2 linked regions of the Drosophila melanogaster genome follow. The gene in region 1 interacts genetically with each later gene. Each region holds a gene or a part of one and is shown on either strand. Other genes may lie near its edges.

The links.
Region 2: of l(2)10685 (region 1) and Dref, changing one suppresses a phenotype caused by changing the other (phenotypic suppression), as found in Drosophila melanogaster (one study listed by BioGRID).

What each region holds. Positions count from the first base shown.
Region 1 is NT_033779.5:1,134,018-1,150,206, reverse strand, and holds l(2)10685 (lethal (2) 10685), read right to left. Parts: upstream 2,386-16,189; 5' UTR 2,343-2,385; coding exon 831-2,342; 3' UTR 758-830; downstream 1-757. Other genes in the region: Tfb4 (transcription factor B4), read left to right, coding at 1-76, 138-556, 621-693; MFS3 (major facilitator superfamily transporter 3), read right to left, coding at 3,132-3,314, 3,382-3,668, 3,735-4,763, 6,797-6,836; CG4577 (uncharacterized protein), read right to left, coding at 10,251-10,378, 10,444-10,724, 10,822-11,083, 11,140-11,586, 15,126-15,348; iris, read left to right, coding at 16,134-16,189.
Region 2 is NT_033779.5:9,960,884-9,978,126, reverse strand, and holds Dref (DNA replication-related element factor), read left to right. Parts: upstream 1-10,897; 5' UTR 10,898-11,241; coding exon 11,242-12,367; intron 12,368-12,458; coding exon 12,459-12,751; intron 12,752-12,811; coding exon 12,812-13,199; intron 13,200-13,259; coding exon 13,260-13,582; 3' UTR 13,583-13,980; downstream 13,981-17,243. Other genes in the region: RpL13 (ribosomal protein L13), read right to left, coding at 9,706-9,810, 9,880-10,188, 10,250-10,492; CG5850 (uncharacterized protein), read left to right, coding at 14,735-15,034, 15,115-15,392, 15,450-15,656, 15,713-15,809, 16,068-16,772.

The sequences.
Region 1 (16,189 bases):
CGCACCACGGCTCAGCGCTCCTTGTGAGAGTCTCCTGGCCGGCAGCATGTCCATGGCGCTGTGCTACATATCAAGGGTAGAGAATAGCTAGGAATCGCCTTGGGAAACCAAATCTAAAACAAAATACTCCCGTACAGCTCCAGAGGAATCTGGCTCCTGGCGTCAAGATGCATTCCCGCATCCTGGTCGTCACAGGCAGCAACGAGTGCGCCTCGCAGTACATGACGTTCATGAACGTCTTCTTCACCGCCCAGAAACTGGGCATCACGATCGATACCTGCGCCCTGGACAAGACCCTCAGTTTGCTACAGCAAGGCTGTGACATTACCTCCGGACAGTTCCTCAAGGTCACCCAGCTGGACGGCCTGCTGCAGTACCTCCTGTGGGTCTTCCTGCCCGCCCCGCAGATCCGTCACAAATTGGTCCTGCCGCCACCGCCCAAAGTGGACTACCGCGCCTCCTGCTTCTGCCATCGTGAGCTGATCGACATTGGCTACGTCTGCTCGGTTTGCCTCTCGGTCTTCTGCAAATACAGTCCCATATGCACCACTTGCCAGTGAGTACAATTTAAACTTCAATTAACTAGAACTTAACTTAAGGAGCCTGACTATACTTTCCAGCACCATTTTCAAGAATCCCGGTCCTCTGCCCATCAAGGGCAAAAAGAAAAAGAAGACCGACAAGCAAATGTAATTCCAGCAGTAGAAAATACTGGTTACCAAAGGAAGCAGTATGTTAAATATAAAGGTACCTTTTTAGTTTACAACTCTTATTATTTATTGGGGCAACAGTTATATAGTCTTGTTAATCAGCCAACAACTTTCATTTAATCACACATTTCTGGTTATTTTACTAAAGTACATGGGTCCAAAGTTGGCCGGCAGGTAGGGCACCACCATTTGTCCATACTTGAGTCCCTTTGGGTGCTCGAACTTGAAGACATCGCTGAAGAGCGCCGTGTGGCGACTCAGATCCTTGATGGTAGTTGTGATGCCGTACTCCGTGAAGACCTTTTGCAGAGCCATGTGGACGACACCATCGTTCTGGATGGGCGACAGCGAGCAGGTGGAGTAGACCAAACTGCCGCCTGGTCGCAGGAGACGCAAGCAGTTGGCCAGGATGCCTGCCTGGAGCTCTGGTATCCGCAGGCGCTCCTTTATGCGCGTCGGCTTGAAAATATTGTTGTCCTGCTCGTTGAGCACATGGCGATCCGTGGTGCAGGGCACGTCGACCAGGATCTTGTCGAACTGCTCGTACTGGTCCAGATTGCGGGCGTCACTCTGGCTGAGGATGAGGCGCTTTCCAGCCCAGCGCTCCTTGTAGTCGAACAGGTACTCCTGCATCACTTTGCGCAGCTTGTTTAGGCGGGATTCTTGGATGTCATTGCAGACCAGGTGGTCCAAGTGCAGCGTCTGCAGCATAAGCAGCGATTTGCCGCCGGGAGAGGCACAGGCATCGAGCACACGCTCGCCAGGCTTCACCTGCAGGAAGAGAGGCGGCAAAGTCGAGGCACCATCCATCATAAAGTGGGAGAGCACACCGGTCATGCACTTCTTGGGTCCCTTGAAGTCCGAGCAGTTGCCCATTTCATATGTGTACAGGGACAGATGCTCGGGGTAGTGAAAGGAAGGCTCCGGTTCAATGGCGAGCGGGAAGTCGGCGCTGGTTTGGTAGTACTTGTAGTGCTCCGACTCTGCCACCCAGTCCTCCATGCCCTTGATGCTGTGGGCAGGCATGTATTCATACAGTCCGCCTGTGCCAAATTGGGGATCCACCAACCGATGCTCGTCCAGCTTCACATCCTCCTCCAAAGCCTTCGTCAGGCTCTGCTTGAAGGGATTATTCACTTGCTCCGGCTGATCTTCCTCTACGTTGTCAAACTTCAGTTCCAGCGGCAGTGGCGCCGATGAACCATCTTCTGGCGAGCTCGGGTATATGGAGGCCACCTCGCGCTCCTGCTGTTTCCGCAGCAGTGCATCCAGTTTGCTTTCAATTTCATGACGTGATTTGCCTTGTTCCGGCACCGTCTCCGTGCTGTCCTTTACCCGATCCTGCGCCAGGTTAATAAGCGACTTCATGTTGATGGCTCCATCTGACTCCAGCATGGCGCACGTCTGCTCCGTGTCCCCGAAATTGTTGACCAGGGCGACATACTTGTGCCTCGTGAGAAGCGCCGCCCGCATGTTCTTCCACCGGGTGCCGTAGACACTTCCGTAGAAGTCATCGAAGTTCTCCAGCGCTCGGTCACAGTTGTTCTTCTTGTTCTGCAGGACATTCCATCGCTTCTTGGCGCCACTCTTCCACCTCCTGGACAGCAAACAAACGTTCCGTGCTTTCAACATTTTCCGCAATCCGTTGAAACCGGCAAAGGCAAACTGATTACATGAAATCATATGTTTCTGCCGGAATATCGATAACGGACTCTGTCTTTTGGCGCCGCAGGTTATCGGAGTTTAAATTGTGATAAGGATGCAAAGAAAGTTGGTTCTTAGATGTTACAATCAATTTCACAACCCAATCTTTGCATTGTTGAGTTAGGATCATCCTCTAGCCTTACATCTTTTGCCATTTAGTTACATCATGCAATTGTTCATATCTTCAACCAAACAGATAGAACAGATCCCCTGTTTATATATTTTTTTATACGTACAGAGTTGTAACTAAATCCTCTGAGATTCTGTGGAATGGCTTATTGCTAGCGCTAAATATAAACAGGAAAATGGGGTCATTCACCCAGAATTTCCATCGAAATTGAGGCTGAGACCCATTCTCCCTTCCCCACCAGAATTTGTTTAGGAACCCCCGTGCATCCACTATTACGTCGCTTTATTTGTAGACAACTTTTGAAATCAAGAGTGTTAAGTACATTAGGCGGGCTGAAGTGTTTATCCGTAATGGATACGGCTACTAACTATTGGTTTACAGCGATCTAAAAACTACAGTGCACGCCCTAAATAGCGAACGTATGTTCAATGAATTCGCTATTCAGGGTGGGCATTGTACACTTGTAATTGGTATTTACAGTCCAGCATTGACCATTCCACTTTGAACTGGCTTTATCCAAGAGTTATCCGAATAAGCAGCAGTTCGTCGAGTAATTGAGGCAGAAGATTCGGGGCGAGATTGTTGGCTTAGGGCTTAGTTGGCAGCTCCTTCAACGGAGTCTTTTCGTCCTTGGCCTCGGGATCCTTGGGAGTTCCGGCCTTGTTCCACGGCTGCTCGCTGCCCGATCCCAAGAAGACGAATACCAGGAATTCCAAGGCGAACAGCACGATGGTCACTCCGAAAATGATGCGCCAGGCGCCAATGTTTTGCTAAAAGAATGATTCGAGAAAGCCATTTGAAGATATTTTCGAGAATATTCAGATGCATTTCTCTTACATTTCCCTTGGTGACGAAGCCCACGAAGAGGGGGACAACAATACCAGGTAGCGTAGCCGCCGTGTTGGTCAGAGCCACCAGGGTGCCGGCGAAGTTCGGTGCGATGTCGATGTGGTTGGACAGGAAGCCGGAGAACATGGAGCCCATGGCCACAATGCCCACGGACATGACAGACACCGCCTCATAGTGACGGCATCCGATGTAGCAGAGGACCAGCAGACAAACTCCAGGGATCAGGGTGCAAATGGAGGTGGCCGTCTTGCGGGCAACGGTGGTGGTGATCTTACCTAGAAAGCACATTAAGGTATTTATACCACTCACCCTTCAAAGGTCCAATAATGTGTCCGACTTACCCTTGGCCTGCAGACTGTCGAGGAGCTTGCCCAGACAGATGCTGAAGATGATCATGGGGAAGTAGGGCAGAGCACTGAGGGCTGCATTGCTGGCCACGTTGAACTTGAGCACCTGCTTCATGTAGAAGGGAATCTCGATGAGGAACATATACCAGCCGAAGTTGCTGCAGGTGTGGGCGATGAGAATGGCCCAGAAGGGCACGGAGGTGAAGACCTTGCCCCATGGAACCGCCGGGTGGTGCTCCGTCTTCTGTTCGGTGCCCAGCGAGCTGGTGATCATTTGGCGCTCCTCCAGACTGATGAAACGCTGCTTGTTGGGGTTGTCCTGGACCAGAATGACCCACAGCAACATCCAGATGCAGCTAAGTGCGCCCATGACATAGAAGACCGACTCCCAGCCCCATTGGGCGGAGCACACGCCGGCCAGGAGGATGGAAAGAGCCGTACCCGCAGATGTGCCCACGTAGATGATGGTGGACATGACCATGCGCTCCGTGGGAGGGGCCCAGGAGGCGATCATCACGTGCATGGCCGGGAAGGAGGCTCCTCCGCCGACGCCCTCAAGCACTCGCATCAGAATCAGGCCACCGTAATGCAATTCAGTAAAGACGGGCGTTAGCAGCGTGCACACGACGTTGATGGCCACCGAGAAGAGCATCACCCACTTGGCGGAGAAGTTCTCGGCGACGTGTGCCAGCGGAATCTGCGAGACCAAATAGCCCCAGAAGTAGCAGCTCAGCAGGGTTCCCTGCAGGGGCTCGCTCCAGTCGAAGGGACCGTCCTCCACCTTAGCCGTCACATTGGAGGCACCACCCGGCGGGTTGCATTCCTCCACCAGGGACACTTGGGAGGCGTTCGAAAGGATGACGCTGCCGTGTCCCCCATGTCCACCGCCGTCTCCGTGGGCCTTAATGGCTGTGTGGTTCACCATGGCCACCATGGCCACGCTGAGATTCACCTTCAGGCCGTACACAATGGCCATGCCGATGGACCCCAGGAGGGCCAGCACATAGCGGGCGGGCACGAGTTCTGGAAAGTAGATGGTAAGGTCTTTGTAAATCTTTATTTTTACTTGATTCGTCCATTTTGGATGGATGGAAAATGCAACTCGATATATAAGTCATTCGGTTGGTTTGCTTGGCAAGTCAATTTGATTAATGCCAATGATATTCACATCGGACATGGTGCGCCAAATGACTCCATTTAGCAAGTTAAGGAATTAATTGTACCCCTTACTTGAAGTGCTGAAGGGTATACTAGACTCGTGTGAAACGTGTGTATGTGTGACATGGGCTTGATCGGAAACACTAGTCGAAACAAACTGACCCTGTCCGTCTGCTTGTCCGTGTTATTGAATCGCTATCTGAGTAAGGGGTATCAAATAGTCGTTACGACAACGTTCTCGTTTGTTTTTTTAATTGAAGGAAGGAAGAGCAAACATCTAAAGACAGTGGGGATAGTCCTTACACACATTACCATTAAGGTATTTATAGGGACATGACACCACTCGGGTGCTCCGAACCCAATCACCTGGTGAGCAACGAGTTCCACATGGAGCAGCCACTGATTACCGGCAGTTGGGTAGGGTCAGTAGAGTGAGCCGCCGCACGCGCATTGATATAGTCCACCCCCTTTTGAAATCGGTTGGGGGAGGCAATCATGTCCAGCAATTATGAGTGCGTTGCTTTGCGATAACGAGGGGTATAAATTCGTCGTCTGTGTTTTCAATTTCACTTTCATGGCTGTCACAATAAGACTTTCGAGCTGGCAAACCGATTATTTATATCTGCTAATTGTGCCTTCGATATTGTGTAATTACTGCCTCAATGCCTTAAGATATACTCTTTCGTTTGATATATTCTAATAATTAACTAATTCCATAAACTAGCTAGGTTAGCTAAGCTATCATTTGGTGGCAGAAAAGATGATTTGATTTCGAAGGACATTATATACCATCCTTATTAATGGATTTATGTAAGAGTATCCCTACTTCGTTGGTACTTTCTTCGCTTTCTTAATCTTTATTTGCTCTGAGTTAAATGCTGCAGAGCACCAATACATTTCAGATGTTCTATATGCATAAGTTCTCCAAGTCTTCCAGACTAATTTGATTGTTTGATTAGGTGGTGCGTGGTGGTGGTAAATCTCAAGTGCTTGGGTTAATCTATATAGGGCTAAAATAAGATCGCTCCTAACAACGCTTTCATTTAACATGGTCATAAGAAATATTCCTGTTTATAATTCATAGCATTCTTAATGTATTCCTTTGAGATCTTTGTGGGAAAGAAATGATTCAGTTCATCACTGTGATAGTCATACAATAATATTTTCAAATAAACAATAAATAATTCATGAAATACGATAAACAATATTTCACAAATATGATGCAATATAAACATTGCAGAGTAAAGAAATGTCATTTGTTAATAGTTAACTTTGTGGAATTATGTACTTTCTTGTAACTTTAGTATTGTGGAATTTGGAAATTTTAAAATCAACTTTTAAAGTAACCCCTTTGAGAAACTTATTTGAAAACGCCGAGTGAGATTTTCGCGTGGATTGTTTAAAGTAAACACTATTATTTACCCGATTCAAAAGCTTGGCAAACTTTCGCCGTTTTTGTTGGGATAGGTAGACGAATTTCAAGAATGTCGCGTTTGTTTGGGATACGCATACAAATTGGTCATATTTTCGCCTGCCAATATTGTTTATATCTATGACTTCCATTTGACCTTGTCCGGACATTAGTACCCGGGCATATAAACGCCAAAAACAAATCAAATATGCCGCGTGGCGTGGGCGGCGTCTAAAAAAAGCCACAGCAACATAAAAACCTAAAGGATGTGGCACACACACACACGTACGCACTGGGGGAACAAGGAAGATTTCTGGAACTCACGCACACGAACGACCTTTTGGAGGTCAAACTTGTATCTTGTATCCCCAGAGTGCCTTCAGCCCACCCACTTGTTGCACTGCTGCACCACCGCCGCATGATGCATGATGCACTCCAGTGGTGCAATCTCGAAACAGATGCTTCGAATGTCCAAGCCACAACTTACTGCCCAATATGCTGCCTTTGGCGGGCACTTCGTCCGTCATCTTTGGGGCTTCCGGGGATATATAGGCCTTACTGCGGCTGCCGAATGCTAATATCTTCTTTAAACAGATTGAGATATATTCTCAGGCGACGAAACCAAACCGAACCGAAACGAAACGAATCCGAAATCGAAGTCCACGTGCGATTGCCTCGAAAGTTGCTCACCAACTGAAGCGGCTAGCTGGAATACTCTTTGATTTTGTGCGTCGTTCCCAAAAAAAAAAAAACGAAATTCTCGTTTCGCGTCGGTGTGCGTGTGTATGTACTTGTGGTGGTGGTGGGTCCCGAGTTTTGGGATCTTGTTCTCCGCTGCCGAAACGCCGAGTAATTTGGCCTGCCTGTCGTTTGGCGCGTATCTTTATCTTGGTGGCTTCGTTTCTGGGGGTTCGGAAATGGTTTGTCACAAGCCCGAAACCCGATGATGATATTCCCCCATCCAGACCACAAAGTCAAATGCCTGGTTCAACACGCGCCACACCCGTCGTTCAATTTCATGTGCCTCGCATTCAATTGCATCGTAGATGCCTCAGATACCTTGGGTTCGTGTCCCCGCTGAGGTTGCTGTCCTGGGCAAGTTGGCTTTTTCGAATGCGCCCACGCATAAATTTGACTTGGCCAGCATATCAATGGCATGTTTGCGTGTTTGAGCCAATTTCGAAAGACTCTCGAATGGAGGAGAAACAGCCATTCAAACGGCTAACTTATGAGCCATCTCATCCGAATTTTAATTCAATCCTGATCGGTTTTTGGGGCTCTTTGAAATGAAGTACTTTAAATATGAAGTTACTTTCTACCTGCAAGTCATTTGAATGCATTATATAATCTTCTGGCCTTAGTCAGATATACACGATATAATTCCGTCTACAGGTGGACATATAAAGCGGTTATTAAACATGCAAAACGCGTGCATGAAATTAGTATAAATTTCGGGAGATGATCCCGATACACAATGGCCCATCAAATGTATCAAATATATAAATATATTTACAAAATGTTGCCGCATCTGTGTAGTTTTTGGAATGAATCGAAGTGAATTCCCTATTTGGCTGCCTAATTAACGCCAAACTCAAAACATCTGCAGCAGATTGATCTCATGATGAGAGGTGCGAAATCGTGCTGCCCGTGGGGGAATCTCTAAAACAAATGCTTGCCATTCCCGTGAGCAGTTAACATTAGTTATATTCATATTCATAATAAATTAACTTTAAACGTATTCATTAAAGACTGCTCCTGGCCTCGTTGCCCAGCTTGTTTATCTTCCTGGTCATTTGCTGATGAGATATGCAAATGGCCACCTCGAATCCCTGCCAGAATCTTCAGGCTCCAATGCTCCTGCACACACTCCATACATATTAATGCTTATTTAGATTCCCCGCCATATGGCAACAATTTGGCATACAAAAGGCATAACACTTTGTAACTTAGTCTGAATTTAGTATAAAGTGTCCATGCAACTTGCATTCAATGCAGGTTAGATTGCAGCACATTGATAACTGCTATGATGTGCATGCCGTAGTCATTAGAATAATAATATAAAAAAAAAAAACAGAGCCCCTTGTGTCAAACGCATTTGTGTATCTGGAGCCCAATGTTTTGTTTATTTGGCTTACTGTTTACGGCCATTCTATTCAATTGTTTATGGCCATTTCGAGCTAAGTTTGGACAAAGTTGGATCTCATCTGGCGTCCGGAGCAGAGCATGCTTCCCCATTTGCAGTGGCCACAATGGCGCTGCTTCACGGTTATCTAGTTTTCCACTCATTCACCGGACATGCAGCACTTTAATGTGGCTTCGCATGGAACATTGATGATGAAACCCATCCGAATGGCGATGGATGTCAACGCGTGTGCGAAGGCCAATTGGTTTTTATTTAATTTTTGGCACACACTTCGCTCGAGAGGCCCCAGAAGTCTAGCTGTTGTTAATTGGTCTTCATTGAATTGTCTCCCAATTTCAAATTAGTTAACTTTCCTTTCAAACTTTCGTTGGCGGCTGGCAACCGAGCGTGGAAGTGGAAAATGATTTTTATGACTTTTTCATTGAGCGGCGGTTACTGCGCAGCTGAATATACAAATTCCCCTAATTGTAACTTGATGTAAGCTTTGAATTGACACATTTCTAAGATTCGATATGGGTGGGAAAAAACAACCCACTTTCATTGAATTTTCTGCCATTGAGCACAGCCAATTGGTTTTCAGGTCAAAAAACTCCCAGTTCATCCAATTTTGATTGGTTTTCAAACCAAAGACGTATTTATTAATCGTAAATCAGTTGATTGTAAATAAATGTATCTTCAAACTAAGTTCACGCAAAGAACTTAAGGCGTAAATCAAAGGCCAAATATTCAGAGGGAAAGTATATAATATTAAGGTTACTTGAGTGTTCATATATATAGTTATATATAATCTGTATTGTATACACACACACATATATATATACGCTATTTTATTTTAGTCTGTATAATATAATTTATTTTACCATATTCATAGTACACATATGTATGTATATTTGATTATTACCGAAAACAGTCAGACAATTTTATTCAAATTAAAAATACGCCTCTTCGTCGTCGGCATAGAATATTTAAAATATTTATGCCCTGAGCCATTTCTTAACAAATTTATCCACAAATTGTTTGCATATTGTATACGTATATTTATATATATATATATATAATTTACCAACATATTAGCTGCGATACTCGCTAAATACGATTAAAATTCTCATCAATTGTCAGATCGTTTGTCCCCAAGTCGGCGGGGTTACATAAAAAGTGTAGTTCGGAATGTGATGGCATTCAAAATACTTGGCTTTGGCTTTAGCTTTAGTTAGTATAAGTTTAGATTAAATTAAAGCGGTTAGTGGAGCTTTTGTCGCTTCTGAGCTCGATTAGGATTGATATATGCATGTATAGATGTATTCATATTTTTATATATAATCATATTCATAGTTGACGTTCTTCTCTCGTTTTGTACTAGTCGGGAAGCCTCTAGTTCGATAAGTAGATACAGATACAAGTTGCGGTTCCGCTGGATTTCAGATTGCAGTAGTTGTACATAGACACCGATTTCTTACAGGGATTAGGTGGCGTAGATATAGATTCGGTTTAGTTCGGTGCGGATTCCGTGGGACAAAATCCTAGACACTGATTGATTATGCTCCTGACGCACCACATTGCATGCAACAATAGTTTAATTCTCGCCATTGGGTTTTTTGAAAGTGAAATTCTACACAAAAATTGCACACGAGTTGACCTTGACACTAGCTCTTTATCATAATTGAATTAGAAATTGAATTTGGATTTTGGTTTCTTGGATTATGTTCAATATGTTCAATGCTCAAAAAAACGAGAAATACTCTTCGTGGGGCCTGTGGCTATCATTAAGTACTACGTAGACTATCTCCGCGTGGGATCCTTAGAAGTACTTCTCGCCATTGTAGCCGGATCCGCGCTCCGCCACCGGTTCGTTCATGAATTGGCTCTGGTTCACCGAGCGCTTCTTCTTGGCCACCATGTAGCGCTGCTTCGAGGAGCCGAATCCTGCTGGATAATTGAAAGTTATAGAACACGAACCTCCGACTCTTGCTGCCAACCCAATCGGGACTTACGGCTATTGACTCCGCTGTACTTGTGCTGACGCGGCACGTACTCGTACTTGGGCATCGCCTGGTTCTGGTTGTCCAGCGGCACTCCGGCGCCGTAGTAGTCCGCCTGTACGGGCACGTCGAACCAGCTGCCGGCGGGCGCGTAGTCCAGGTCATCGGAGGGTATCATGGGCACCGGTCCGGAGCTCTCAGCATCGCTCTCCTTGCGCGCCCGTTCTCCGGCCTCCACCAGGGCAACCAGGGCCAGCATGTCGGCGGGATTGAGCTGGGTGTCGCGTTTAAGTCTGGGATTGGAGCAAAGAATACAAAAGGTTACCCCTTAGTAATAGTTGTTATGTATGTAAAATATCACTCATACGCCGTGTTGCTTTACTAACTCACCGCATGTCGTTGAATCGTCGATATTTGTTGAGGTTGATACCCTCGTCGTTGTAGCCACTTCCACTGCCCAGGCTGCTCGCCCCATTGCCGCCGGGAGTGCCCACGTTGTAGTAGATACCCCGCTTGTTGCGCTCATCCACGTTGTAGTTCCGATTGGCATAGGTCAGCGGCACCGAGAGGGGAATGCTCTCCAGATAGGCCTCGGCGTTCAGGAGATTCTGCAAATTGTCGTAGGCCTTGTTTCGCGCACTCGAGCTACTCACTGGAATTTAAGTTTTTTGTTAGTTAGCAATGGATGTGCCACGCTCTTGGACGCACCTCTTCGCTCTGGCACGTAGTCATCGATCTCCTGGAGATCCCGCTCGCCATAGCTGACAGGAACGGCGGCCTCGTAGTCGTCGGACCAAACGCCACTGGGCACATCGCTGCCGTAGTCGCTGGAGGCGACGGAGTACGGATTGTACTCGTAATTGATGCCCCGCTTGCGCATCGTGGAGCTGGCCACCGCCTCCTCCAGGGCGGAGGGCTCCTCCTGCAACTGCTGTTGGCTGTTCTGGGCGGCGGCCGCTACGGCGGCCAGGATCTCCTCGTTGGAGGGCAGGGCGTAGACTCCGGACGGCACCTGCTGCTGCTCCTGCTGCTGGCTGGAGACCGGAACTGGGCTGTTTCGGGCCGACGGAGCGTTGCTAAAGGAAGCGGGCACAATTTCCGGACTCGACTTCTTGTCCGCCGTGGGCACGGCACTCGCCTCCTCGGAGCGTTTGGCTGGTGAACGAGATGGGGAATGGGTAACGCCGGCTGCTGCTGTCCGGGCTACTCGAATTTTCCATTTCCAACTTGCCATTTCCCACTTTCCATTTACCATTTACCCGGGGCTGATTCAATAAATTCCCAACATCCCCACAGCCGAGAAGTGACCGCAAAACCAATTAGCCGCCGTCCGCAGAACGAGTACCATAATTGTTTTATACGCCCGAGCATATTTCTCGGTCTGGGCTAATTGCTTTTAGCGCCCTGACAGCCGGCTTTATGTCCACTTAATCCCCGATGTAATACCCAGAGGAGGAGGACTGACCTTATTAATCCTAATCGCATTGCCGCCCCACTGGCATCCAATCGAAAAAAAAGGGTCTTTGCGCAACAGTTGGTTCGCTAATTGGACGGCTGAATTGGCTTTAATATCTCGGATCGGTTGATATCTTTAATTGAGCGCTGGCCGCCGCCAATTAGGATTCAGTTAGCACCTGACATGAGTCCTCCTCATGGGCATGCGGTTATTTCAACTGCCCCATCCATCCAATCCCGAGTTCAGATGGACCAGCCAAACTCGTTCAACTCCCCTGCGCAGTGGATTTGTATGAGGTATTTCGCAGGTTTCTGCGAATATCTATACCAGTATCTATAGCTTATCTCCATGATTATTGGAACTGAGATATCGCATATAGAGTGGAATGGAGTAGATACCCGCATAGCCATGATTTATACGACCCCAATGATTAATGTGTTATTAGGGTGTGCCAATTGAAAGGGCCAGGTGGTATAATATCCGGCTATCAGGAAATGGGCTCCCATAAAATGACTAGCGGTTCGCATCGAATGGGAAATGAATGTTTCGAAGTGTGTACTTAACTTACTTTGCAGGTGACTATTTAGTTTTAGACACCACTATCGTAACTAAAAACGAATTATTTTGATACCTTAAAGCTATTTTGATATGATTACTTTCAAAGTGATGACTAACATGTTGCGTGGAAACACAAGTTCCTTCCGAGAAACAGTATGTCCCCTGGTGCAACTCTAGTCGAGCTGTAAAATTCCACATTCTCTGAATGTGGATACGCTTTTATGGAGCGCCCGTAACCCAGTTTGCGATTCCCCAGAGTCCTTGGGACAGACGACAATTCCTGAAACCCGCTGGCTAAACGCTTCCCCGTATTGGCAGTCATTTAATGCCCACAATGCTCATGTTTCGCCTCCATGACGCCCACGCCACCGCCTCAATTATATTTATGTGTGGCAAATGTCCTGCTCACGGATGTCCATCAGCCCGGATGGGTGCTCCTCGGGTGGGGTACTTGAATAAATAAATGAGTAGAAAGCTGGCAGGCTCTGACGTTGGCTGACGTCGTCCTGGGTCTCTACTCTACCAGGCTGTTCACTGAACTGCAAAAGTATCAACAAGTTGTTTGCTCCCCACACACACACACACACACACACATGCGCAGAGATTGGGGGCTGGTGGGTGGCTCTTGGCCAGCAGCTGTTCGAAAAGTCGGGCCACCACAGACAGCGCGACATGAACATGGGAATGTGGACACGAACATGAACACAATTAACGCCACGGCCAAGTCCTTGGGCGTTTCTTTCGGCCCCGCACAGAAATAACTTAATAGCCGCAGCATATGGAAAAATTTGTCAAGCGCAGGAAAATGCGCTGGGAGCCTGTGGTTTCGGGATTGGGTGTGCCAACTGGAGTGCTCACCCTTCCCTCCTGACTACTTCATCGCCAGGCGAAGGAAGGAAAAGGCGAGGGGTCAGCAGGCACTGCTCTCATAAATATTTAATGCGCCCACTTGACTGCTGCTGCGTGGATTAATCCGTGGGGTGGACCCTGTTTTCACTTTGCACTACCGACAGCTGGACACTTGGCGGCGACAGCCTGTTTGCCTTTGTCATTAGGTTGCCATATGTGGCTCTGTAAACACGTAGAAAGGGGCGGGGGCGCCATTCCGCCCACATTGGGGCATAATAAATCTATTTAGAGCGAACTGTGCTGGGGCAAAAATCTGTTAGTGGCGCTGCCTGGAAGTATGCTACAAAAATGTGCGATGGAGAGCTTATCGCTCTCGAAAACATCTAATCCCTAGAGATTTGTTTCTTACCCAAAGGCAAATTTTGTATCTATAAACTTACATTAGAACATTGAAAGATTTGAAAGTATGCAGCGAAATGTTAAAATTTAAATTTGAACTTGTCCACCCCAATCACATGCTTCCTTCCCCTTTTCTGGGCACCTGCCCTTTACATTTTGATGTGGTTGCCGCTGGCTTTTGGCAACTGACATCTGACCAAAGCCCCGCTACTTTTGGCCTTAGTTGCTGCTGCGGTTTGGAGCGCTAACGAACGTGTTGCACACACGGACGCGTATTTATACTCGGAATGGATCGGAAAGGCTTAACAGCTTGAGCTTGGCTGCCTACTTAAGGGCTCAATGCTGCGGTGAAAGTGGGGGCGGCAATGGGTGGCACTTGCCACCCAAGATGTGGTGAATGGCGATGGCGATGGCGTAAGGCGATGCTAGGCGAACGGCGCCAGGCGAGCAGAAAGTGCAGGAGGAGCGGAAGGGGCGCAAAAGGGGCTGAAAACTTTCGCCTAACTCGCTTTCTAAAAATAGAAATGAAATCGCGCGCACGTACGCACACTTTAACAGCATGGAGGCCCCCCCACTCACATACACGCACACACGTACTCACACACACTCACAAAGGAGGCTGGCCGCCATTTTGTGTGGCGAACGCCTACGCGATGTTTAACTGCGCTGTAGGTTCCCGTGTGCTTGTGTTGGTGAGCGCTGAGCTACATATATGAACAGTGTAACTGCACTGGGAGAAATCGTGGAGCTGTATATACAGAATACCATATGTTTCTTTAGAGTTGTTGAAAGAAAAGGCAACATTGTGCTTTAAGCCGCAGCTTGATATATGTATATATGTTTCGTGAATATTTTGGCAGAAATTTGATTATTATATATATATGTATATAATTTAATATAATTTATATAATCATTTTTTTGTTGAAACTTTAATTTAAAGACTTAAAACTTATTTTATTTGATAGTTTTCTTTCAAGAGTGCATATAGCTACCCACTTACTCAGAAAAGTCATTGGTAGTTTTCTCGCTGTGCAGGCACAGTAATGATTCACTAAGCCAGTGCAAGAAAAACAACCGCAGGATGGAAATTTATAAATCGCTCATGGAGCGCGGCATTCAAAAGGACGACAGCTGTCGTCCTCGCGCAAAACACCTACGCAATTTCCTGGCAGAAACAGCGAACGACGAGCGGTAAATGGGAAATGGAATATGCTAAACGAGATGAGCTCCGAGATGGAGCCACTCGAGCGGATGCCCGACCCTCAAAAGCCAGCAGCCAGCCAACCCACGCAGACGACGAGCTGGAGGCTGGAGGCACAGCCTTCTCGGGCCGGGCATTTTTCAAAAACTCGCATTTTCCCAGTGACCTTTAGCCTTAAGAGTGGGCGTGGGCGGAGCTGCTGCTCCACCTGTACTGAACTTTGGCACTTACCTGTGGCCGGCTGTTGCTGCTGCTGCTGCTGCTGGAGCTGCTGCTGCTGGTGATGCTGCTGCTGCTGTTGCTGCTGCTGCTGGAGCTTGTGGTTGGCGCTGGTGGAGAGCTCCGTGTCTTGGGCGAGCACGGAGGTGGGCACCGCCCGGATTGGAAGGCTGAGGCACAGGATCAGTGCCAGGACTACCAGCAGGCTGCTGCCGGGCAACGAGATGCGTGGCATGTTTACGGCAAACGGCACTTGACTTGGCTCTAGCTGGTGGTGTCCCAAATAGGATTCGGATCTGGCTGGAGGTGGGAGGTCGACTTCGACTCCTGGCCTGGTTTCTGCCGGTGTTTGGATCCCAGTGGTCTGCGCACTTCGACTGTTCTGAATGAACTGACGTCCCAGCGACGCAGTGCAACAGTTTTTAACGTATTGCCCCGATTCCGTGCCGTTGGCCGTTGGCTTGCAGACCACATTAAAGTGCCACCCAACTCCTCCACTCGCCGACCGAATCCCGTCCGGTCTGCACACAACCTACGTCACTCTCATTGATAAAGACCGCGGAGCTCGGAGGAGCCTGCTTACGTACTTGCCTGGCGAGGCAGCGAGCCAATCCTCTACTGCGCCGGCGCCGGATCTGCAAAGAGCTGCGTTACTGCCAGGTCGCATCGGTGGGCCTCTGTGGTGCTGGTTATGCCGCTATGACACTGGTTGTTATGTAAATTCACTATATTAGTACTCAATGCACTTGACTAGTGTAAAATGTATAATAAATATGGATGGCTTATGTTATATTTGTATATTATATATTTATATTATATTTATTTGAAAGCTAATTCTGGCTAATTGCCTCACTTGCAAATATTTAAAAATTTATATTGCGCACAATGATCCGATCATTTTGCTATATCAGCAATTGAACATACATATGGACATGCACTACCGCTTGCTACCCGATTCTCAGGAGCTCACCTTCAGTTTAGCGCGGAACTCTGGGCAACGATCACCTCTACAAGCGAAAGATGAAAGCGATTAGTTTGGTATTCATCCTCGCCCCCTCGCTGATAGCGCTCTCCCA
Region 2 (17,243 bases), 8.8 Mb from region 1:
CCAAGCTGCTCTTCAATTTCTTGAAGGCTTCTATTGCTTCGCGATTAAGGGAGACGGATTTTTTTGACGATAATGTCCTGGAAATTCGACCATCCTCCCCTCTCAAAAGCGAGCTAAGTGGTTTTGCTAACTTAGCGTAGTTAGGAATAAATCGCCTGTAATATCCGGATAATCCCAAGAATGATCTCAGTTCTTTGAGTGTCCTTGGAATTGGAAAGTCTGAGATTGCCTGTACCTTGGTTGGGCTGGTTTCAATGCCCTTGTCGGACACGACGAAGCCTAGGAACTCCACTTTTCTCTTCATGAACTCGCATTTATCCAACTGACATTTCATGTTGGCTTGCTGAAGAGTTCTGAAAATAGTGTCAAGGTTCTGGTAATGTGTTTCATCATCTTTACTAAAGATGATGATGTCGTCAATATAAATGAAACATATCTTACCGATATGTTCGTGAAGAATATCGTCCAGTGCGCGCTGGAAAATTGACGGTGCATTTTTCAGACCGAATGGGAGTCGTGTAAACTCATATTTTCCATTATTGATGGAGAAGGCGGTCTTTTCGATATCAGATTCCTTTAAAAGAATCTGATGAAACCCACTTTTCAGATCGAGCACTGAGAAAATCTTGTTGTCTCCCAATTGGGCCAACACTTCATTAATGTCAGGGATAGGGTATCTGTCCGCTACCGTTACCATGTTAAGTTTTCGATAGTCAATTACCACCCTGTATTTTTTCTTGCCAGAGGAGTCGAGTTTTTTTGGTACAATCCACACTGGTGAATTGTAAGGTGACCTTGAGGGTCGAATGATTCCATCGTGTAAAAGTTCGGAAATTTGTTTGTGTACCTCGTCTTTAAGAGACATTGGGTACTGATAGAATTTTGAGTATATTGGCGTATCCGATATAGTTCGGATTGCTGCCCTTACACTTGTTGTGTAGGTTAGTTTTTGATTCGGGTCTGCGAAGAGACCTGGATACGAATCAATTATTTTATTCAATATCATTCTCTGTTCCACCTCTAAGTGTTTTATTCTCGGACTAATTGTGCTAACAGCCTCGAACTGTTTTTCTTTGAGAACAACTCTTTTCCCGTTTTCCAGTGTCATGGTTAGGTTCTTCAAATCAATTTGCGCTCCCATTCCCTTCATTGTGTCTTTGCCAAGTATGGCGTCAAAAGTCTTCAGCGTTGGTAACAAAAAAAATTTTATTTCGAAATCGAAAAGGCTTGCTCTTTTGTAATGCGATATTTTTACATCACCGCCTGGAGTATCAGCTATGTAAGGCTTGTTATTTGGTATCGCGTTCGTCACCAAATTGGGCTGGATGTAATTTTTATTAGAGCCTGTGTCAATCAACACCCTTAAAACCTTTCCACTCCCCACTCTACATTCGAAGTATGGTAGTGAGGAGTCTTCTACTCTAAAAAATGCAACACGTGGTCTCGTTGTTCGCTGTCCAAATTGTCTATTTGTCCATCACAGTATTCATTTAGTGTGCCGTTTATATTGTTCTGGGTTTCATAATCTTGCATCGACCGTTGATAGCCTGTCATGCTTGAACTGGACCCAGTTACTTCAATACTTGGCTGTCTCATGTTCACTGTTTGGATGTTGTAGTTCTTTTGTCGTTTGTTTATGTCCGAGTGTGGTCTATTCATATAATTAATGTTTCGCGTCTGTACACTGCCGTCCACGTCCATTGGTTCTGGTCTTGGTTGTGGTTTGGTCGCAAAGGGACGGGGTGGGGCATTGTATTGTTGCCATTGCTGTTGATAGTTTTGTCGGGGTGGAATGAACGGTGCATTACCGAAGTTAGACACGTGTTGCCTTGGCGCCGGGAATGGCTGGCCTAAATATTGTGGAGGTCTCCTCATGGGATGTCGTGGAGGGACCGGTGGAGGCTGTCGATGGCCAAAGGCATTCGACGGCTGAAAATTGCGGGGTGCCGGAATGGGTTTTTCGTTTCCTCTGAAACTCGACTGTTGACCCTTATTCGCCGCATGGTTTGACCTGAAAGTTTGATTTTCAAGTTTAAGGCAATAATGTAAAGCTGAGGGGAGATCAGCTGGCTCTTTTATTGCCAAAAGGCGAGGTAAATCTCCTCGAAGGCCTCTGATAAAAGTATCCAGAGCTTTTTCTCTGTACATTTTTGTAACAAAGTGCTCGGATTCTCGGCTCATTTGCATGCAGCCGACTTTATTTAGAATAAGCGACAGATTTTTGTAGACGTCTTGGTGGAAGTCTTCCACCGACTGCTGGTGGCCTTGAACCAAAGTTGACATTTGGTATTCCAAGGTAGTTATGTCCCGTTTATCTGCGTAATGCAGAGTGAGACATCTCGACATGGCCTTCCAGTCCAGCGGAATGCTGTAGGACTCGAGTGCCACATCAGCACTTCCAACAATTTTATTTCTTATGGTATGAAGTATACCATAATATTTTGGAGTACCCACAAATGGGGTATAAGTCTCCATGATTCTATCAACGCTCTTTTTCCAAGACCCGAATTCTGCTGGATTTCCAGAGAATTCCCTGATCGATTTTACGATATCAGGCACCCTGTCAAAGTCCGCTAAATTATTTCTGTATTCGGGCTCGACGACCTGGTCGCTCACGTCAGTAAAGTCAAGAGTATTGTTGTTCATTTGTTTTATCAATCCAGGTAAAACTTGGGCCACCGTTTGGCCAATTAATGCTGTCAACTGTTCGACACTCATGTCTACGCGATGCTGTTCAGGCAGGTCGTGTCTTTCTGAGGGCACCGGTCTTTCGTTTGAACTAAAAGCTGATGGTCTTATTATATTATTAGGATTTGCCATACTGATTTTTAATTCGGACAACACCTGCACAAAACAAGCCTAAACCAATTTGAACTTAACAAAAGTTGTGGGCAGAAAATATGGAATGCGTGTGTATGTGTTTGCTTATTTATCTTTTGTTTTTGTTTTTTTATTTTTTATTTTTATATTTTTTTTTTTTTTTTTGCATGCAATAAATTTTAGCTCACCGCGGTTATTTTGCTTTGAGAACAGTGTACCAGAAAGGAACAGTAAATAGGAAAATTTTCCTTTCAGAAGATCTCTAGGAACTGGGTTGAAAATATAGTATTAATAATAATATCAATAATAATAATAAAATAATAATAATAATATAATAATAATAATGTAATAATAATAATATAATAATAATAATATAATAATAATAATATAATACTAATAATATAATAATAAAAATATAATAATAATAATAATATTATAATAATAATATAATAATAATAATATACTTAAATTTTTTTTTTTTTTTTTTTTTTTTTTGGTATACTTATGTTTTATTATGGGTGGATGCCTGAATTTCAAATTGCTGATGTTTTTTCCAGTGTACTTTCCAGGTTCTTGTAGTCTCTCTGCCTCCTCTTCGGTTGTTTCAGCTTCAGCTTCTTCGTCGTCAACGTGTTCTTATTCCTGTTCTTTTTGGCGGGCTGCTGCTGCTGCTACGGCTGTGCTGTTGTTGTTCTTTTTTTTTTTCCTTCTTGTCTGCACTTTGGTTCACGCAGCCGTTCTCTGCCGTTCGTCGTCTTTACCTCTGCCGTTACGTTTTGGGTTGCACTGTTAACTGTTATCCGTGTTGCTCTTCTGTAGTTCCGTTATTCTCGGCGTTCTACTTCTACTTTTCCTTCTCCTTTTCGATGAAATTGCTGTTCTTCGTTTTGCATTTATTTAACATAGAATTGTTGCGGTCACTCCTCCTGGCTGGGTGAATGTTGTCCTTTTTGCCTGGGCTACTGGGGAATCCACGTCAGCACTCCAAAGAAGGTTTTCTGCGGGCTGGCCTGACAGAAACTGTGATCCACCAATGGGCAATGCTATGCCGATAAGTATTTTCCTCTTCCGGAAAATCTGTTTTTTTCTCAAACAATTTTATTTTATAGCCGACCGTGAATTTTGTTTGTTAATAACTCGCGGGAGTTTCTTCGGCACAATTTAACCAACGAATATTTTTTAGCAAAATTTTGATTTTGCTCCGCGACTTAGAATTTTGTCTTTCGTTCGCGTTTATTCGCTGGTCCCTGTTCGGGCGCCAGTTAATAATTACAGTTATCGATTTGATTTTGAAGATCGCAAGCGACCGTTTATTGCAATTTATCATTTGAAACTAAATCTAGCGTACAAAATGTTTCCCTAAGTCCCTAGCAATCAAGTGAAGTCGTCGGCAGCGGCGCAGCAGGCGTCGGCCGCGGCGCAGCGCAGAAGTGTCGATGTCGCGCTTAACCGTTCGTTGGCGTTGATGGCAGCGGAGACTATGTGGAACCACAAGATGTTAGAGAATCAATTGCAGGGCAATAACTTGCATGCGATATACAACCATTGACTCCGGCTCGAATTCACAGGATCCGGATTGCAGGACTCCTGTCGTTTTACTTTGTTTCACCAACGGACGGACGGATGGCTATGATCTGGCACCGCAATTAAGCAAAAAAAAAAAGGGTTAGACATCGGCTTTTTCACATCGTCCTGCGACGAGGAAGTTGTGGTCTAACTTGCAGGCTCCTTGCCTCTGCTTTTTGGTCATTCGACACAGGTGCGAAAGTTTCCCGGCTTGCGGTTTGGGCAAAGTGAAAACGATCCAACGAAAGGGCAAGGCACTGGAAAAAAAGAAGTAAAATAAAATAAAAAATTAAATAAAATATAAAGTGAAATAAACGTAGTTAAATAAACAAAACAAGCCCATCGGTTCAGTGAATTTTAAACTTTTTTCAATTGAACCCCCCTCGCTGAACGAATGCCATCGCCCACATGTTCGGATTTCTTTAAAATTTTAGATGGATGAAAAATAACCGCCTGACGTTAAAAACTCTAAAATGTTCCCTGAACATTAAACGCACAGACACAGATTGTTTGTCCAGGAAAAGCAATCCATAAAAACGTCCGCAGGATTCGAAAATAAAAAATGAAACAAACTCAATTTCAAATTGCAATCAATAGACCGCCTTGAACAAATCGATTTTCGGTTATTAGCCGTCACACAGTCATTAAAAATTTTGACAGATTTTGACAATTTATTGATGTTGCACAAAACACGCGGCAAAACGCAAACAATCGAGCAAAAACCTACAGTTGACCTGTACAAATTGCAAAAAGTGGACAAATGTTTGTCCTCCCATCTGCGGCGACTTTCGAGTGCCAGGACCTCGTCGCCCCCAACCTCCTGCATTTTCCACCAACCCTCGGGGCGCGCGATAATTTGATTAATTGAAAGTCAGACGACCTTTTTTTTTTGCGGTCTCTGGGAAGGGGTTGTTCCGTATCCGAACTGATTGGTTGCTTCCAGGATGATGAGGAGGATGAGGAGGAGGGTGCTCTGGTGGCGTGAGTAAACGATCTCCGGTCGTTTCAAGTGGCTCTATTGTATTCACATTAGCGGACTTATCCAACCCCCAGGGTGTATCTATTTCCTATCTGACCGTTTTTTTTTTTCGGCACTCGATTTTTTTTTTTGGCTAAAATTTAAATATCGCATTACACACAGACACTTGATTTTGAAGCCCAGCCGACCGCATTTGAATGTTTCACTTGTGGTCCGGATGGGTAGTTTACTGTACAGGTTGCACAGGACTCCCTGGGCAATTTCCTAACATGTGTTTTTCATTCGAAACTTTAAATCTGTTGTCTGCACTTGATTATGCGATAAACTGGGCTGTGGTTTTAGCAAACTCTCGGTTTCACTTGCTTTTGGACAGTTGCGTAATTGTTTTGTCGCTTCAAGGGCTTCTCAATGGGTCGTTGGTCGTCAAGGGTTAAGGCGTTGTCTGCTGTGGAGATGGCCTGGCTAACTGAATCGGACATCATCTGCCAGCCACTTGAACATATTTTCTCGTTTTTAGGCTTTTCAGTCTTGCTGCCAAAAGTTGTGGCTTCCAAACTGGCGGAATAGTAATGAAATGAAAACGTAAAAATCTCAAAATAACAAAGTTGCAACTAGAAAGTTGCCGCTCTTAACAGCACCAATATTTGTTTTAATTTATTCTTGCAACATCTAACAATATTAACCTAAAATGATTCAATTATTTAGCTACCTAAACCAACATTCTAAGTTACAGCACTCTTTTAACTAATCAAATTTGGCCAATTAAAAGACTTCCTGTTGATTTTAAAGCATCTCTCGAACATTTAAATTCGAAAACATGAAAATTTATAGTCACGTAAATAACTCAAGCCAATCTACCCTTTCCCGTTTAAAGTCTGGTGGCATGCAACATTTAGCTGTTTTGTGGTTTCCCACTCCAGCGTTATTCTCATTATGCTTGTTGTGTTATTGTTAAAAGCCACGCCCATCGCCCCCAAAATGATAATTGATTTTGGCCTAAAGCCCAAAGGGTTTCGTTTTATATACACAAATATACTTATATACATATAGATAGTTAAATGTGGTCGTTCGTGCTGGTGGCACACACACGAAGGACGCCCCAAAAACACGTGGCCAGCTGAAAGGACATTCAACTCGCAGGAGCAGAACAATTGCGAATCGCTTTAAGTGCTCACTTTTCAGCAAAACACTTTGGTGTGCGCAATTTTCAATTTCACGCCAGCCCACTTGAGCCGCTTTCCCACCTCATTTGCATATTTTCCGGCAATTATTATTTGCATATGCGAAAATTTCCCGCCCATTGTGATTCTAATTCGATTTTGATATTTCGCGCCCATTGCCATTTGCAATTTGCCTTTTTTTACGATTTGTTTTGCCAGGATCGTGTGCCGCCTCTATTGATCTCATAATCGAGCCAAGTGGGCTAAAAAAAAAGCAACGTCCCTCATTTGCATCGTTGTGCTCATTTTTTTTTTTATGGCGTGCCAATTTTTGATAGATGATGCGTGAAAATGTGGGACGTGGCAAGGGGGGGCGACCTCTGCATATTTGCATATTTGATTAATTTGTTTGGTTTTTTGGGTGGTTTTTTATGGAAAAATAATAAGCATTTTATTGTGTGCTGCGGACTGGAGGAGTGAGGAATATGGGCTAATTTCTATAGCTCATCAAATAGCAAGGATGCGGATTAGAGCGGCACAAAATTGATGGGGCATAAAACAGAAAACAGGGATGGGATGATAAACTTGCGATATGAAAGTAACATGTGTTGGGAAAACGATCGAAAAAAATGATACATACAAATATTTGGTTTGAAGAATATATATATTTTATACTAAAATACTAACCATATGTACTAAGAACATACATACATAAGTTTCATTGCTTAGCATAAAATACTAAACACGAAACATAAGAAGGATATAAATTAGATGCTGCACTAGTGCACACAAACAATGGAATTTGTTTTTTGGCAAGAGATCTTCTTAAGTATTTAATCGATTGGACATGAGCCGCATCATCAGCTTAATCCACGCCCCGTTCGAAATGCAAATCGGTCTGGAAGTTGCGACTGCTTCTGGTCCTGATTTTGTCCTTCGGCAGACGAGCAGTAGTTTTCCCTTCAGACTGGCGGGCACTAATCCAATTGCTGTATGGATCATTAAGCACTGATTGCGTTTTATGGTGCAGACAGGACCTCGGGCATAGGTACATACATATATATATATATACAGATGTGAATATGCTCATATGCAGCGCAAGGACACTTCACTCGCATATGCAGATTAACCCACAGCCAGTGAATTGAAATGGGGTGCCATGCCATCAATTATGTTGGAAATTCGACGATTTAGATTTAACAGCAAATCGATTTTGCGATAAAAAGAGAAGGAATCCAACATAAATGCATTTGCGAGAAAGAAAGTGTTAAATTAAATTCACATCATTGGCATAACCAAATTAGTTGCAGTCAGCGCAGCTTTGTGCAGTGACAAAAAAAAAAACAAAGTTAACAAATTTTATTTATTAAGTAATTTAATTTAATAGATATTTGAAAGATGTTTCTAGTGCAAAAAGGATATATGGTTTGATTATATTCATATCTATTATATAAAATACTCATACTTGGAATTCAATAAGCAAAAAGTGCAAATAAATGGTGATTTTCCCTGTGTACTTACCTTGCTGAACAGTATCCTGCATTCAAATGAACCGCAAAGTAAATCTGCATTTGATTTGTCACCCGGCGCACTTGTTGCAAAAAACTTTTGCCGGCAACTGTCGCCGCGAAAGGTGGCACACACAAAAATAGAAAAACAATTGCCAATTACGTATCCTTGTTTAACGCTTGTGCCGAGCCACTGCCCCCCGGATGCGAGACAGGAGCATCCGGAAGCAGGCAGTAACCCACCCCGGTAGCCATAGTCACCAGCATGGTCGTGTCCATAAACAACAGTCGAAACAAAGCAAAAACCCACAGAGAAACAATCAAAAAGAAGGAAAACTCAGCGGGGAAAAAAAAACATTTTGAGGGGTGGTGCAAAATGGGCAGCGGGAAAAACTAGGTGGAAAATTACTTTTGCGCTCATAAATTTCAATAATAAAAATTTGAATGCAGTTGACACGACACCGAAACAAGCAGCCCCGCCCACTTTTTGTCCCCTCCGCACACAAGAGCGGCAAACAAGGTTAAGTGAAATAAAAATCAGTGAAGTGCATAAACAAGGTTCAAGGTGCGGGTCGGACTGCAATTGGGATTTGTATCTGTATCTGTAGCTGTATCTGTATCTGTAAATGTATCTGCATCTGGTTCGGGACCTAAATCTGAATGTGGATGCTGCCTGCACCACCCGATAATTGAATTGGCTTGTCGCATTTGGTTGAGGAAGCACAACCCTTTTTTTTTATTTTTTGAGGACCGGAGGAGTTATGTTTTTGCATATGTACATTTGTATTTATGGTGTATGGTGTTTTTTGGCTTTGCGCTGGGATGTGGGTTGTGGTCTGTCCTTATTACCAACATATGGAATACGAGTTTCGGGGTGGCGGCCTCAATTAATATTTGCGGTTGAAGTGCAAATGCGATAATATTTGGGTCAACGCCGTAATGTTCACTTATTTTTCATAGTTTTGTGGTTAGTTTCTGAATTTGTGCTACGGAAATCAAAACAAAAATTGTATTTCAGTAAACAAGCTTAACTGAAAACGAGTAAAAAAAAAGATGAAACGCGATAGTGAAGCCCTTCACTCACTCAGCTTATCAATTTTAAACTCAATATTTTCAGATATAGTGAAACGCGCATATGTACATACATATGTACATAGGCATAAATACCTTAAAAGGTATTGCAAATATATTACTGCAGAGATAAAATACAGTTGTTTAGTTTAATCTTTACCCTACACCATTCTAATGAAAAATTCAATATATTGTAATTAACATTTCAACAAAAGATATTTAAAAAAATAAGAAACGTAGCTTCTGCAACCTTTTCGTTTGCTCAAGATGCGTATCCTAAGAAAATCTTCTATATGGCACCACAGATTTAACTTTTTAATAATTTAACCCAAATAAATTAAGAAGCTGGTAAAAATAAGAAAAAATAAAAAAGTAATGGCAAGCAACATACGTTTCTTTTTTTGGATGCAGCAGCTAAAAACAAACGCGCCAGTTTGAATTCAACGCGCCAAAGCTACTTATCGATAGCAACACGGGTTATCGATAAGTCTTACGCCAGACGCGACAATAACAACAATGTGCACAAATATTCACGTTTAAGAAAAACTAAGATTTTATTCTGGTTGATGTTGTAGACAGAACGATCAGGTTAAGATGTGGTTTACTTCTTGGCCTTCTTGGGGTCTCCCTTGGCGGCGTCCTCGCTCTCAGCGGCCTCCTTGGCGCGCTTGGCGCGGATTCCGACCAAACGGGCATCAGTGCGAGCCTGCAAATATAGTTTGGCGGCGAATAAGTATAACGAGCTACCGGCGGATCACGAAACCAAAAAACTTACCTTGCGCAGCGTGGCGAAGGCCTTGAACTTCTTCTCATCCTTGGTCACCTCACGGAACTCGACCACGGCGGGCTGCTCATTTTTGATGGGCAGGACGGGTCCCTTAAGCTGGGTAGCCAGCTTGCACTCCTCCAGAGAGGACTCGCCGGCGCGGATCTTCTTCTCGTTGATGGGGAACAGGATCAACTTGCTGCGGTACTCCTTGAGGCGCTGGATGTTACGCTGGCGGGACTCCAGGGATTTGTTCTTGCGCCTCCTGTCGACGGCAATGCCGATGGTCTTGGCGAAGTTGGCGCCAATGCCGGCACCCTGTAAACAGAGATTTTGTTAGTGGCCAATGGATTCCGATAATGTTTTCGGCTTCACTTACCTTCAGCTCCTCCAGGGTGAAACCACGGCCGGCACGCAGCTTGGTGTGGTAGCGGATGGTGGGGCAGCGAACCACAGGGCGCAGGGCACCGCTGGCTGGGCGGGGGAAGACGGCCTTAGCCTTCTTGACGCGGTTCGCATGCCTGCGGACCTTGCGGGCCGGCTGGTTGAACCAGGTCTTCACATGCCGCTGCCACCACTTGTGGTAGTGCTGATTCGGAATCATATTGTTACCCTTACCCATCTTGGCGGTTTAGATTGGCTGCAACGAGGGCAAAAACACAATAATAACATCAATGTCTCTTTGTAAACTCGTATATATGGGATAACCAAGCTGCAGGCCCACGTGGCTGGCGAATTTCGATTTGTTTAAGCCGTAATTCCGAGCACTTCTTCATGCCTACGGGTGTCAATGATGCCCACTTGTGTCCTCCACACTTGGCACACTCGATGGCTCGATTTGCATTTCGTTTATCTTTTATTTTCATTGAATTTCGTGACGCTCACGAAATTTACACACCTTTTCTTCCCAACAACGAATTAAAAAGGAAATCGCAACCAACTTCACGTCGTAGGCCAAGCGAAAATTTCCCTAGAGAAATTCCCCCGGCCGAGCGAGAAATTTCCCCAGCTATCGATTGGTGATGCAATCAGTGTTAGCGAGAATACTCAACAAATCGCATTTTTTACGACAGTCAGACGTATTGAAATTAAAAAGCGGTGACTCTCATATTTGAGCAGTCTGTAAAAATAATCTCAAATAAATGAGAGTGCATTTGAAGCATTTAGCAACGTTTTATTGCCTTATCGATTGACGGCGTGTCGCGTGGCAACTCTGAACTGTACTTCTGATACAGATAAAAAACTATTGACTATTGAACCGTCTATCTATAATCGAGAAATTGCGCGCTAATACACGCATTGGGCACAGCAATCGTTGTCGAATCTAATTCAAAACAAACAAGAAGATCCCAATCCCCCACAGAAGACAAGATGAGCGAAGGGGTACCAGCGTCGCCCGTGGCCATTGGCGAACTCAAGTACGAGGATGTGTCGCAGCTAAATTTTTCCAAACTGTACTCGCCCAAGATGAAAAGCGTATACTGGCGCTACTTTGGATTCCCCTCGAACGACAATAATGAGGTGATTACCAAACAGAATGTGGTCTGCATTAAGTGTCACAAGGTGCTGACCAACCATGGCAACACCACCAATTTGCGTGCGCATCTCCAGCACCGACACAAGGATCTGTTCAAGGAGCTGTGCCAGGAGCACGACATCCATGTGCCGCCGCGCAAGACGCCGCGTAATGTATCCCATCCACCGCTGTCCAAGCGGAATGTTTCCTCGCGGCGGGTCAAACTGGAGTTCATTAATAACCGGAACCACGATAACGCTTCCGATGATGAACTGGACGAAGCAGCCGTGGCAACTGCGGCCATGCAGGCGGAGGAGGACGCCTCCTCGCAAACCATGCTGTACGAGACCATGGTGCCCTTCACCTACGACGAGGCCGAAAATCTGGTAGAGGAGGAGGAGCGCCTAGTTATGGAACCAAAGTACGGACGCAAACGCAAAGTGGCCACTCCATCGAGTGCCCTGATGCACGGGCGTGTCATCAAGCACGAGGAAGGCGGCTATGCCGCCGTGGCGAACATCGCCAATCTGGCCGAAGCCCTTACGGACATTGTGATTAAGGATTTGCGCAATGTGGATTCTCTGTACGATGCCGGTTTTGGTGAATTCCTGCGTCAAGTCCTAGGCAATTCGGCAGCCATGCCCGAGCCACACAAGATCGACTCTTTGATCAATGAGATGCACGCCTCCAAGTTTCTGGAGATTGGCGAAATCACGCGCGATTTCACCTCCGAGAAGCCCTTCTCTCTCGCCTTTGAGATGTGGGTGAATGTTGAACAGCGGCGCTTCCTTAGCATCTTCCATCACTTTCTGGACGAGGAGACGCACTCAGTTCGCGGTATGCTGTATGCCACCGTGGAGTACAACGACTACATCGTCTTTGACGATCTGCTGACCGACTTCTATTTGGCCAATTGCACACTGGCCATCATAAACTACGACGAGGAAGAGGACCTTTTGCACACCTATCTGCGAGAGAAAAGTGAGTGCATTAGCAAGTCAGAATTATTTACCTTATATAGAATATATATCAAATATTGGACTTCCTAATGAATATGAATCTTTTATTGCAGATATACCCATTTCGCTGTGCTACGTTTCGGTAATTGACAAATGTTTGCGTCGTGTGTTTGAGATCGAAGAGGTGGCCACTTTATTGGAGCAGGTGAAGGACCTAATGCAGCGTCATTCAACGGAGATTGCCTCCAAGGTGTCCGAGGTGCCCATGCCCACGTACAACGAGCACTTCCCCTGGACACTGTACGAAACATTGAAGTTCTTTGCCGAGTCCATATCTTGGTCCGAGGACATGGATCACCTGGTTATATCAGCCAAGACGGTGACGGAGGCCCTGAGTGCTCTGGTGGTAAGCCATCAAGCTAAATGAGACGTTTAAGCAGTTTTCTTATTGTGTGAAATCTTTTAGATTGCTTTGGACACGCTGCGTGGCGAAGACATTCCCTTGTGTAGCATGCTTTCGCCAATCACTTCAAAGATTCTTATCAAGAAGTTGGGCATCGCCGAGCAGGACGATCCCCTAATGATGAATTTGAAGCGGACCATTTCCAGTGTCCTCCAGGCGCACGTTATATCCAATGACAATCTGACCGCTGCTGCATTGTTGGACCCACGCTTCCACCGCCTGACCACCATTGACAACCTAGAGCGAACCGTTCGTATGCTGACCCATAAGTATAACATTAACTTTGGTGGAGTGGGCGAAGGGGAATCCAACGAAGTGGCAGCTACCTCCAGCGTGGTGGCCATTAAGTCAGAACCAAGAGTAGTGGACGGCAGTGCACCAAAGAAGTTGGGTAAGTGCATCGAACTAAATCGATTATCATAAACCATGGACTAAACGAAAATGCCCGTAGGTCTGAAACTGCTGTTTGACAGTAACGAGATACCAAATCCTCCGAAGCGAGATGCGGACAGCAGCGTGGAGTCCGATCTTAAGCGATATCGCAACGAGGTGGTCGTTCAGCTGGATGAGTCGCCCATCGAGTGGTGGCTCAAGATGGGACACATTTATGGAACGCTCCGCGATTTGGCCAGCCTGTACCATAGTGTGCCCGGCGTGGTGACGCTCAGCTTCAAGAAGGCGCTGAGAGACCAAATATACGACTTCAACAAGCGATTCATGCTCACCGGTAGTCACATCGACGCCATCCTCTTTCTTCATCATCACAACAATTAGTCTGCACTGGCGACTACTGTTTCTTATAATGCAAATACTTTTTAATTACTTTTAACGTAATCCGATCTTGTGTATATGAAAATGACTACCAGGGGCGAGGCAAATAGTAATAGCGATTCCGCAGTACTTTTAACCAAAAGACAGCCTTGGGACGTACACGGAACATCTTAAGTTATCGACGTATAAATGTTAAGGGAACATTTTGACATCATATATTCAAATCAAACAGATAATCTAAGAATATTTGTTTAATAAATCCATAACGAAAAAATATCACGCTTATCAAGCTCACTTGTAAATCCCCTTATATCCATTTCAAGAGAACTAATTAAATACTTAACTTAGTTGTACATAATTGATATTTTAATCTTATAAATAAATAAAATGCATCTAACTTTCGTGAATTGTTTTATTGAACTAACTAAAATTAGATATTTTACAATTAATTCAGTATTAAAAAAATTTCTGAACTACGAAACAATTAGTAGTCGGTTTGGAGTTAGCTACTTTATATATTTGACATATTTCTTTAATTTTCAAAATATGTTTTATTTTTTTACTCTGCAGCCCTCGAAATTTCCCTTTTTTAAATCATCGGAAAATTTTCATATTTTTCGTCTGCGACAAACAAAATCTAAATAATCTTCGACATTTGTTTTTTAATTAAGTTAATTTTTTTACTGATAGCTTTTAAACTTTAAAATAAAACAAATAGTAAAAATTTTAAATAATATAAAACCGGGAGGAAGTCTGTATTTTAGTCATTTCGGATTTCGCATTGGCTGGTCACACCAATTAGACGTAGGCACCCGACCCACGAACTGGATTCCTCACAAAAGAAGGGCACGAAAGCCGCGATATTACTGCCAATAGGACTGAAACCAATAGATCGAAGAACTTGCTCTGCCAGCAGGAGATCTCTGAAAATGCGCCTCCAGCGTGGGTGCCACCGCCGTGTCCTGTAATCTGCTGTGAGAGAATTTCTGGCGGAGAAGAGCGGATCGGAGCGGAAGAAAGCGGAAACCCAAGTGAAAACAGAATCGGGGCGGCGGCGTCGACGTCAACGAATCAACGATATCAACCCGGATATTAGGTACTCCGGTGAACAGCACATTTCAAGGAGCATTCCCAAGGAGTGCACCAGAGGCAAAGATGTGCAGCTTGGACGTAAGACGCTTCTTCGAGGAGTGGCGCATCTGGATACGCCCGCTGCTCATTATCACCTATGTCATCTTCGCCATCATCGTGGTCCCGCTGCTCATTGTGAACTCCGTGAAGGATGGCTTCCAGCGCAATGACCAGCTCATTCTCATCGGCGGTCTGTTTGTGTTGTCCGCAGTGCCCGTGTCCATTTGGCATATCATCCAACACGTCATTCATTTTACCAAGCCCATACTGCAGAAGCACATAATCCGCATATTGTGGATGGTGCCTATCTACGCCTTGAACGCGGTAAGTGGGCCACCGATGTGAGCTTCGATATTGCGGAATTGGAGACCACAAGAAACCTAATACTCTCTATTCACTTGCAGTGGATCGGCCTTTTCTTTCCGAAGCACTCCATCTACGTGGACTCACTGCGCGAGTGCTACGAGGCGTACGTTATCTACAACTTCATGGTGTACCTGCTCAACTACTTGAATCTCGGTATGGACCTAGAGGCCACAATGGAGTACAAGCCGCAGGTGCCTCACTTCTTTCCGCTCTGCTGCATGCGGCCGTGGGTGATGGGTCGTGAATTCATCCACAACTGCAAGCACGGCATCCTCCAGTACACGGTCGTGCGCCCCATTACCACCTTTATCTCTGTGTGAGTGTCGGGATGTGCTTTTCCGTTTAACAGTCAACTCTAATCGGAATTTCGTAGCATCTGCGAGCTATGCGGCGTTTACGGCGAGGGCGAGTTTGCGGGCAACGTGGCCTTCCCCTATATTGTGGTGGTCAACAATATATCCCAGTTCGTGGCCATGTATTGCCTGGTGCTATTTTACCGTGCAAACAAGGAGGATCTCAAACCAATGAAGCCTATTCCCAAATTCCTGTGCATCAAGGCTGTGGTGTTTTTCTCGTTTTTGTAAGTACCACATGAAAGCATTTAAGATTGGTTAAGAATATTTTACTCCACCGTAGCCAAGGAGTGCTACTCAACGTACTGGTATACTATAATATTATTAAGGACATCTTTGGGTCGGATGTGGGAGACACCAATCTGGCTTCCCTGCTTCAGGTGAGTGACCTATTTAAAAGCCGAATGGATCTGGCAATAAGTTATTTCTATAAGTAAAGAGCTAATATGTAAATTAAGCATGATTTTTTCATACCAACCTTATCTTATAACCGAAAACAGTCCCAAGTTCGTTTAATACTGATGACTAAGAGTTTTTATCAAGCATAACTTCCAAATTTGCAAACACAACAAATGAAACCGAAGTGAAAGTTTCCAAAAACCAATTCAAATATGTATGTATTTGTTATCGCCAACCAGAATTTCCTCATCTGCATCGAAATGTTTATCGCGGCCGTGGCTCACATCTACAGCTTCCCGCACCATCCGTTTCACATCAACTCGCCGCAGTACTGGAACAACCCGAACCATAGCTGGTGTCGCGCCTTCCTCTCCATGATGGACATATCCGACATGCAGGAGGATGTCACCGAGCATCTGGGCGTCGTGGGCAGTTCACTGAGTCGTCGCTTCCAGGGACGCAGCACATACCAGCCGCTGGCGCGCAGTCCTCGCCGCTCCAGCAGTGAGTCCGAGTATCTGATCAGCAAGCGGCAAGATCAGCAGCTGCCGGGCAACTCGTCACAATCAGGTAACATGTATGGTGCAACGTCCAGTCGCCTGATCGTGCCTGTGTATGATGGCAAGCTGAATACACTGCCCGAAAGTCAATCTACTCACTCCCAATCTCGATTTCCTTTAGCAGGCGTGGCCGACGATGGGAACAGTAGCAATAGCAACTACCAACAACAACAACTACACTTGCCGGGAGCGGCAGGCTCTCAGCCGTCGACCCGTCAACGCGACACACTGCATCTTCGCGAGCGCGAAAGGGATCCGGGTGCGGGTGCTGGCGGCGGTGGCAGTTTCCTGCGCCTGCCCCCTGGTGCCGCGTCGGCAGCGGCGCCAATTCCCGAGTCCAACGATGATTATGCCCTGCTGTTGGGTGCGGGCGCAGGCAGGTGACACCGCTACCAACAATATCACTACCAGCAACATCAGCACCCGCACATTGACGACGCTTTCGAGGACGAAGATGGCGTGGACGTGAGCCAGCAGTTGAATGCCTCGTCACTCAGCGCCTCGCTATCCGTATCGTTTGGCATGTCAAGCAGCCTCAAGTTTAGTGCCACTGGCAGCAATCAGTCGGCGTCCGAGTGGTCGAACTCAACGGGCGGGGATAATGACGCTGACGACGGTGACTTGGACGTGGACGGAGAGGATGGAGACGCTGAAGATGACGGTGCTGGTGTGCAACCCGTGGTCTTTATTGCCTCCACGACGCGGCGACGCCGCGATCGAGAGTACATCACCTAGACGCGCTGACCTTAAAGCCCCTTATCAGTTATATGCTATGCTTATATTTATTGTTTTTCCCCATCCCATATCTTGATTTGTGCTAGGCTTAGAATACTCATGAAACGAACACTTTCTAGC